Caenorhabditis elegans: one gene and its partner. The protein of the gene in region 1 purifies or fractionates together with the protein of each later gene. This does not show direct contact. Each region holds a gene or a part of one and is shown in the gene's direction. Other genes may lie near its edges.

Region 1 (6,215 bases):
CTGAAACTTCTTTCGTCGACACAGCTACTGAATTTTCTTTAGAACATCTCGAAGATTTGATCGCTGATGGGGCAGTAGATGAACTTCATAAATTATTGAAATCTTTGCAAACGTGGCCTGAATGGATGTTCACTGGAAATCGCCAGGATATTGTAAGGATCAATGATGTTTTAAGATTCATTGTTGAAAACCTCTGCTCTGAAGAATCTGAAATAATTATTCGAAACTTGTAAGTGCTTTCTTTTTTTTTTAAAGTAAAATAGTAATCCATTCAATTTATTTTTCAGCTGTGGATCACATGTTCTCGCGGAGATTCCAGAAGATATAATTATTCATTTCACTCTCCGAAGCATCACCCCAGAATGTGAAGTCTCTTCAATCATGAATAATCTGGAAACCTCGTCTCAGTGGGCACATAAGCGGGAACTTCGTCCGAATCGAATGCTTGTCAAAACTCGACTTTCCGAGCTCTACGCGTTTGCAATTCAGAAAAGCCCCGAAAAAGCGTTGTCTCTATTTTCTCTGTGCTCTAAACTCAACCTCGACCGAACGTCCGACATTTTCATGAAATGTTATGGTGAGACCCGAGCATCAAGTGACAATTTTCTCAAAAGTTTCGGAGATTGGAAATTGTTGTCAAATAAGTACGGAACTCAACAAGGAATTGATGATTACTGGATGGCAGCTCTGAAATCAGATGCAAAAGGATTAGACAAACGCATAGAGGCGCTTTTATTGCATTCAGGGAAAGGTGAACATCCATTTGCAACTATGGCTCGAATGATTTGTACTTTACTAAAACTGGCTAGAATTGATGAAGCGTTAGAAGTTTTCCAAAAGGTTTCCGTATCAGGAAAACATTTCAAGCAACAACTTGCCTCGTTTGTCGAACAGGTAAAAGTAAAATTTAATGTTTTTAATAATACTCGATTTTTATAGAACGATTTGGAATGCATCGAACGACTAGCTATGCTCGTAGAAAGAGGAATGATTGCCGAAAAACGAAGAGGCGGCGGCGGCCGGTCAGCAGTCAACAAAAGCGTTATTGTGAGCGTGGTGAGCGATCGATTCGATGGCCGAGTGGTTGTGTCCTCAGCTAGCAATTTATTGACCTACGCTCAACTTCCACAGTGGCGTTTAAAAGCAGTCGTTCAGTGGCGCAAGCGATTTTCCCATGCGCTTGTGCCTAATCTTTGACTGCGAGATAAAAATGTCAGAGTCAAGCGGTCCGCTATCTGTGTAGCATTCTGTTCAAGATTTGACTGATATTTTATTCATTTTATTTTCTATTTTCAGAAATGTCTTGATGAAGCAGTCCATGGTGTCCTTGACAAATTCTACGGCATTGGTGGTCAGAAAACTAAAAAGTTTGTGGAGAAGAACATAAAAAAGAAGATCCACCGAGTTGATGAAGAACAGTTGCATGAACTATGCAAGGCAATTCAAAGTGCTTGGATTCAGTGCTCTGACTCGAAAGAATCGTTAGAACGTCTTTTCGCGTGGTGCCAAACAAATCGAGTCGAAGTTGATCAAAGAGCTCAAAAGAAACTATCTTCTTTCCAAAAATAGATATGTCTAGGTAGTATAAATATTAGATTTCTAGTTTTTTTTCTCATTTTTTTGTTATCGTTTCACTCCTACTCTTGTTATACCTGTTTTTTCTGTGCCTTCATTGATTTTTGTGTAATTACCGTACCCGGAGAATTCGAATGAAACCGATTTTCTAAAATATAATTGAACAGTTTTTGATCTTGTGTATCCATTCACATATGATATTTTGTCTGTTAATTTGATGATTGATTTTAAAAACTTATTTCACAGATGCTCGGGTTAAGTAGAAACGGCCTGCGGTCACTTGCAAGGAGACGTGGACTATCTTCTGCTGCTGCTCAAGTGATTATTCTCAATTAATATTGTAATCCAAATATTAAATTACAGACTACAAAAAACACAGCGACACCACCACCACTTAAACAACAACAAGAACAGTCAAATGATGGGCGTAAAAACTTTATGAACAAAACTGGCAAACCATTTATCACCACAACATCTGCAGAGCAAATAAAGCTTCAGAAGAAGTATCAGGAGGGTTTGGAGAGCAATAAGTTGGAAACACTTCATGAAGCAGTTGAATAGTTAGTTTCAAAACTAGGCTCTATTCGAAAATGCTAACATTTTTTGCAGCATTGAATGGCGCGGCACTGTTTTCCCGCAGACCGTATCCAAAATTATCGGATTACTCGAGCGTGCCGCTGATCTCTCCACTCTTTCTGATCGTCAATTGGCAGTTCTTTTATCGATCTTCGGCTCAACTTGTGACACATTGTCCCGTTCACTTCGTGCTCAAAATTTGGAGAAAGTTGAATCAATTCTACGAGAAAAAGGAGTTGTGTTGGGTCTCTTATCTCGAAATCAGTTGATCGAAGCAAAAGTTGATAATCGCAGTCGTGTGGATGCAGTTGAAGAGCTTGGAAAATTTGAAGAATCTGGTATCGAACTCGATGGAAAATCCTATGCTCTTTTATGCGAAGTTTATGCGAAACAAGCAAACACAAAAGCTATCACAGACATCATCTCTCACATGAAGTCCAGTGGAATTCCATTGACAGAAGATCACGTCGCCCAACTTGTCTATTCAGTCGCCAGAGGAGGAAACTATGAACATGTTGGTCGAGTTGTTGATACATTCTCTACTTCAATGAATGTTGTCCGTCTACGATGCGCTGCAGCAAGAGCTATCGCAGAACGCGAAAAAAACGAGCAAGGAAGAGGTGGTTTTGAAGTTACCGAAATGATAAGAGCTATTCCTACAACTGCAAAGCTTCATTCCCTCGAAAATAATGCATACGTACTCAATGTTTTCATGGATCTAATTGAAAATGGACAATTTGATGCTTTTAATCTTCTTTCGTCTTATTTGATCGTCGCCGAATCAGGATCTACTCTTGGAGACAATAAATTGAATTTACCTGTTGTTGCTCGCGCAAAAAGTCTTCTCAGTGAAGGGAGTCTCGAAGAAGCAATTGCTCTTTATTCATGCATTCATCCATCATATTCCAATGAGTAAGTTTTGTAGAAGTTAGGAGCTTATTTTACTCATTATTTTCAGATTCTTTGTTCAAAAACTAAATCGTCAACTGGAGGAAGAACTCAAAAGTATAACAACATCCCATGATCTTCAAAATTATCTGAAAGTTGTAACGCTAGCTGAAAATAAAGGGCTTATCACTTCAGCAAACGAATTCCTCATCACAGTTTGTGCTAAGAATCAAGTTCCCTTATTCGTAGACGTTTTCGATCATGTTCAACAAGCAGGAGATATCCGTAACATTTTCGGACAGAATCCTAACCTGAAACGATCAATTGGACGCCAACTAGCTCAACATTTGATCAAAACCGCATCACCATCCGAAAAAGCTGCGTTGATTGCAAAAGTTGCATCTGTTATGTTTGCTCCATCAACAAGAGAAACGCCGGAAGATTCTCATGGGGTTTTCCAGATTATGTATAAAATTGTTAGTAAAGGTGAGTGAAAATAGTTGCAATTTTAAATATATAAATTAAATATTTATTTTAGACGTTAAATTGGTTTTACCAGCCCTTGATCTGATGACAAACACCGTCTGGCACGAGAAACGAGAATTTGGAACCGCAATTGTTCATCAATTACTACACTCTGACAAAGAAGATCATTTAGCAATTGAAAAGCTTCGTGTTCTTCTCGAATCTAACAAACTTGGCCAACTTACAGTTTTCCGTCTTCATGGACTTCTTACCAGATTCCTGATGGCCGACAAAGAAAATCGTCTGAAGTTGGTTGCTAGAATCCTTGCGCTAGATTTCCCACCAGAGGCCGCTAGAACTTCTTTGAAGTTCGGAGGACGAAATCTCGCAAAATTCTTATCTAATGAAATGATCACTCTGGATATGGCAGCGAAAATTGTTCAGTTATTAGAAGATGATCCACGAGTGCAATTGAATAATGAAGAACTCACCGATGCTAGGAATGTACTCAAATCGTCACCAGAAAAAGCGGAACTGCTAGGAAAGCTTCGTAAAAGTGCAACAATGCAAAGATGGAGAGCCACCGACGTTAATGAGTTACTAAAAGAACTCTCTAATTTCTCAAACGATGTCAAGGAGGTAGTTGTATTATCATTGAAACGAGTTATTCTTCAAAAAGCTCTCACCGAACAAAATGATGATCTAGACTTTTTGGTGAATGTGCTGGAACATTCGATAGAATGGAAAAAGGATAATTGCCCAGGATATCTGAAAACGTTGTGCAAGAATCTTGAGTCGAAGACACTATCAAAAGCAGTTTCTGAGAACAATATGGTTCTTGCTGATCGAATTTGGCAGATGAGATCAGGTCATCCGACAGCCGATGTTCTACTTTCATATGCTTCACGTCTTTTTGTTAATGGACAGGTTGAACGTGCAGATGAAGTATGCGAAGAATTGAGGAACAGTTCTCAAATTATCCGACCTCAAACTTTGGAGAAAATGGGACGGCGGTTGAAGGGAGTCGAGTCTGGAAAAATGAATGAATTGGCTGGATACCTCAAGAAGAGTTTCAATTTACGCGAAAATGATGCACGTAGAGTGGTGTTGCAGGCGAAGACGGATCAATTAAATCAACTGATTGAAAGGTGAGATAAGTGTATACCCTTTATAAATAATTTCTTAATTGTCTCGAAAATGAAACAGAAAATAATTGAAATTCTGAGTTTTCTTAAATATGTATTCTACTTGTTTTCAGAAACGACTTGCCAGGAGCTCTTCGTATGGCTGTCGAAGAAACAAATGCTAGTAATCGTGCTTTTGGGCAAGTTCCTATTATGATTGAAGCAATCAAACGAAACGACCGTCAAACATTGGAAAGTGTGCACACAATGGTTAGATCTGCTCACAGTTCTGATATGGCCAATGTGAATCTTGCTTACGCACTTATTCATTCCAACAACATGCAACGCGCCCGGAGTCTTATTGAACGTCAGAATTTAAACATCGAAAGCCGTGTTCTTCAATACTTTACCACATTGGCGTCTGCTTCGGAGAATCCAAGATTATTGAAAGATATGTTCATTGTTTTCAACGGACGTGCATCTACATTGGATCTCAATAACTTATTAGAACTGGCAACAAGAAAATTATGTAAGTTCAAACATTTGATTGCTTACGGAAAAGTTCAATCAATTCTAAATTTTTCAGGGAACATCAACGATATTGAATCACTGCAAGAGCTCTCGAATGAAATCGAGACAACATCATTCCCTCTTCAGAACAAACTTCGCACATTCTTTGACGATATTAAAGACAAACACTCATCTTCACCATCAGACCAGTTCGACTGAAGACTTTCGCCGTCGTCTAGAAAAATTTGAAAACGGGCAGCATTTGAAATTATTCAGAAGAAAATTTCGGTTTTTTAGAATTTTTTTAGTAGGATTAGTGGTAGATTCAAATTGTTTTTTTCTTTATGATTCTTGTTTTTTTTTCAAATTGTTGTTCTTCAAATTAATTATCATTTTCAATAAATTAAAAGTGAAATCTGTGAATTTGAACGACTTCAGATCCTTGAGCTTGGGTGTGACATACTTTTTAAAAAGAAATGACTCGAAAACAACATGTGTTCAGAATGTTTCGTACTGTAATGGTGGCAAGGATTGCGAAACAATCGTTTGAAAGTGCTGCGGAGCGAAAAAATGTTGGATAGCTTGCAAAACCATAGAATTTCATGAAAAATTATATTACAGACAATTACGAGCATTCAAAATATCATTAGATGTAGTTTGACAGAATTTGAAAAAGGAGCAGAGGATTACAGAATTTTTCGGTTAGTTTGAAATTTAAATGAAACGTTTCGGGTTACTGCTCATTACAGAGAAACTCGTGACACACCTGATTGGGGAGTTGTCAGGATGAGCAGTATCGCAATGTCTCATCAGAGATCAGAACAAGCTGAACTTTTTTTAAAACAACAAATGGAGGAGTACGGTGGTTCCGCAAGACGTCAAGGTGATTTTGAGCTTCAAATTTCAAAAACTAATGGGAATTGTTTTTAGCTCGAAACGTGGATGTTAGTGACGATCAAATCTGTGCAGCAATCCAACGAGTTCTAAATAAAGACAAAACAGGAAATTCTGCTTTTCAATTTTTCGAATTTCTCAAAAAATACAAGTTCTGCTCTAATCGAGATGTTTTTGCTCGTG
Region 2 (3,512 bases), on another chromosome or scaffold:
ACAAGCATCAATTGGTTCAACAAGTGCATGTGTTCTTGGAAGCGATTCGCTAGGTATTTTTGAAAAAATTGAATTAAAAATCCAATCTAAATATTTTTAGCAACAGAAATATTGAAATCGTTGGTTCTCGCCGGTGTTCAATCATTCTATGTCGTTGATGACGCCAAAGTTGAACAAGCTGACATCGGTCAGAATTTCTTCCTCCATGCAGATGATATTGGACGTTCTCGTGCCGAGGCAACATTGGAGAAGCTTACCGAACTGAATCCATCAGTCTCTGGTAGTGCAAGTAGTCAGCCACCAACAGCGTTAGCTATGGAAGATGTGGAAAAGCTGACAACGTTTTCTGTGGTTGTTGCTGCAAATCAAAATGAAGAAATTGATACGACGTTCGCGAAAGTTTTGTATAATATTAGAGTTCCATTCATCTGTATCAAGTACGATATTTTCAAAATTTGAAGTTCTTGCAGTTAAAATTCCAAAATTCAGAACTTTTGGACTAATTGGTACCATTCGAATCTGCATCAAAGAACACACAATTGCTAACTCACACGAAGAGAATCCGAGACCTGATTTACGGTAAAATATACATGAAAACTTCCAAAAAAGTTTTTATTTCTCAGATTGGATGCTCCATTTTCAAAGCTTATTGAAATGATCAATGAAACAAATCTAGATGAAATGACTCTAGAACAACTCCGCCATACTCCGTATATTCTTCTTCACTTCAAAGGTTTTTCTCGCAATTATGGTTGTATTCTGTTATTTACCTTCTTAATTTCAGCTCTCGAAGTATTCAGAAAGCAACGAAATGATCCTGAAGCGTTCCCATCTACAACTGCGGAACGTAAAGAACTTCAGGCGATTCTTATGAGTTTCCGACGTTCGAGTGAAGAATCCGGAACCAAGGATTCTGAGAATTTTGATGAGGCGAAAGCGGCGGTTATTCGAGCTTTTCAAAGAACTACGGTAAGTTTTTGATAAATTATCCAAATTGATTCTCATTTCTAGTAAGTTTCAGATTGGTTCTTCTGTAAAATCGATTCTCTCTTCTCCACAATGTTCAACATCGACACGCCCATTCTGGTTAATCTGTGAAGCTCTTCGTCGTTTTGTCACCGAGAATAATAATCTTCTGCCTCTTCGTGGAACTCTTCCTGATATGACTTCTGATTCTTCTCGATACACTCGCCTCGCAACTCTTTTCCACGAAAAAGCTCTTTCAGATGCTCAGGAAGTGCTTCGTTTGACACGTGAAGTAGAGAAGGAACGAGGTGTTGGTGACGTCATATCGGATGACGTTTGCTATCGTTTCTGTAAGAACGCTGATCGGATTCGAGTTCAGTATGGCGATGTGCTTGACTACAACGAAGAAACCAAAGCAATTGTTGAGAAAATTCGTGAAAGCAATATTGATGAAGAGACTAGAAATCAGAAAGTTGATGAAGCCACGTGGATGCTACTGATGAGGGCAGTTGGAAGGTTCCAAAAAGAAAAAGGACGTTACCCAGGAACTAATGGAGTTCCAGTTTCAATTGATGCTCAAGATTTGAAGAAGAGAGTTGAAGTTTTGATTCGAGAAGCTTTGAAGGTTTATTACATTCGTTAGTGAAATTAAAACTATTAACAAATTTTAGGATGAACAGGACTTCACATCAATCTCAAATAAAGTGACAGACACTGCTATCGCTGAAATTTGTCGTTTTGGTGCTGCGGAGTTACATGTCATTTCATCGTACGTCGGTGGAATAGCTGCTCAAGAGATTATCAAATTGGCTACCAATCAATATGTTCCCATTGATAACACATTCATTTTTGATGGACATACTCAGGAGTCGGCAACATTCAAATTTTAGTTTAATTTATTGGTTATTTCGCGAATTTGGTTTTGAAACTGTTCCTTGTGGCATGACATTTGTAAATGAGCCTTATTATCAGCAAAGATTTAAAATTTACAAAATAAAACTTTGATTCAAGATTGACATACTGAATATATTCATGAACATATTCATGGACATTGGAACATTGCAATTCGCTCATCTCCCATTTTTAGATATCCCCGGAAACCCCAATTTGAATGCCCGCGCAAAAAAGAGAGAATCGTTGCGAAACCCGCGCGCGTAAATGTTTGCACCTTTAAGTTTTTTGTTTCGGTTTTCCATTTCTTCGAGTTTCTTTCCTCAATTTTTTCTTGTTTACCAACTGCTTATTGCTGTTTCTTATGATAAAAACTTTCTTTATTTTAGAAAATGGCTGGAATTATTTTCGACGATATGTTCAAAGTGAAAAGCGTGGATCCAGACGGCAAAAAATTCGACAGAGTTTCTCGATACTTCTGCGATGCTGAGTCTTTCAAGTGAGATTATTTTAACATTAACTTTTTTACTGACTATGAGAATTGAAAATTTTTTAGAATGGAGCTTATCATTGATATCAACTCGCAGATCTATCCACTGAAGCAGAACGACAAAGTTCGTCTTGTTCTGGCCACTACACTCCGAGAAGACGGACTTGCCGATGAAGGAGAATATGATCCAAAAGTGAGTTTTTATCTTTTTACATTTTTTAAATATATGTTTGCACTACCTGTCTCGTTTTGACTTGGATAACTGATTAGATAACTGAAATTGAAAACTACATTTCACTTATTGTGTAACTCAATCGTTTCCCTTTCAGGCAGAATACCCAAGAATCAAACAGTATGAATATGTGATGTACGGAAAAGTTTACCGCTTGGAAGACGATGATACTGGAACTGACGGCGGAAAGCTCGCTGCTTATGCTTCGTTTGGCGGTCTACTGATGCGTTTGAAGGGCGAGGCTATCAATTTGCATGGTTTCGAGGTCGACATGAATCTGTACCTTCTCATGAAGAAGACTGACTTCTAATCCGCGACTGAAAGTTATTGATTATTTCATTTGTTGATCCGTTTTCTATTTGTTCTACTGTTTTTTATCTCTTTCCAATCTTCACTCAATTTGATCTTATTCTGATTTGTCAGACCGAATTTTCTTTTACATGAAATTTACATTGTTACAATTAAAGTAATTGACTATTTTGTAATTTTCAGTGCAGCAAGCCTGTTAAATATCTTCTTTGATATTCTCAAATTTATTTCCAGCAGTGTGCTTTTCAGGGTTTACAAAATGTCAGCCAATAAAGAGCTGCAACAAGGATACTCTGACTACTCAGCAGCGGTGAGTTTTAATTCACAAGATGTGGAAGTTTTTTTTATCATTTCAGTCCGACCAAGCTGCGCTTCTGAATCGTCTCATAACTGCCATGCAAAAGGGAGAGCTTACTGACGAACTTTTGGAACATATTCCGGAACTCGGCGATGCCAAGAAATTGAACGATAAGCTCAAATACCGGAAGTCGATTCTCGAGAAGAGCATTGCCGAACAGGCAGCCAAGAACAAGAAAAATGGTGTGAAAGCAACATCAACTAGTTCTCCATCTTCTTCTACCTCTGCTCCAGCCGAGAAGAAGGCCAAAAAAGACGGCAAAACGT

The links.
Region 2: the proteins of mma-1 (region 1) and rpb-8 fractionate together in Caenorhabditis elegans (co-fractionation; one large-scale study listed by BioGRID). This does not show direct contact.

What each region holds. Positions count from the first base shown.
Region 1 is NC_003283.11:12,591,903-12,598,117, reverse strand, and holds mma-1 (Leucine-rich PPR motif-containing protein, mitochondrial), read left to right. Parts: upstream 1-1,821; coding exon 1,822-1,893; intron 1,894-1,938; coding exon 1,939-2,135; intron 2,136-2,184; coding exon 2,185-3,063; intron 3,064-3,109; coding exon 3,110-3,525; intron 3,526-3,577; coding exon 3,578-4,652; intron 4,653-4,762; coding exon 4,763-5,157; intron 5,158-5,214; coding exon 5,215-5,357; 3' UTR 5,358-5,550; downstream 5,551-6,215. Other genes in the region: ril-2 (RNAi-Induced Longevity), read left to right, coding at 1-229, 288-894, 940-1,056, 1,297-1,569; C14C10.2 (ERAP1_C domain-containing protein), read left to right, coding at 5,657-5,710, 5,760-5,839, 5,888-6,021, 6,069-6,215.
Region 2 is NC_003281.10:4,916,743-4,920,254, reverse strand, and holds rpb-8 (putative DNA-directed RNA polymerases I, II, and III subunit RPABC3), read left to right. Parts: upstream 1-2,246; 5' UTR 2,247-2,249; coding exon 2,250-2,356; intron 2,357-2,413; coding exon 2,414-2,540; intron 2,541-2,676; coding exon 2,677-2,889; 3' UTR 2,890-3,012; downstream 3,013-3,512. Other genes in the region: ula-1 (NEDD8-activating enzyme E1 regulatory subunit), read left to right, coding at 1-53, 101-437, 490-579, 624-733, 785-969, 1,016-1,591, 1,638-1,856; rars-1 (putative arginine--tRNA ligase, cytoplasmic), read left to right, coding at 3,148-3,198, 3,245-3,510. UniProt on the Caenorhabditis elegans protein: DNA-dependent RNA polymerase catalyzes the transcription of DNA into RNA using the four ribonucleoside triphosphates as substrates.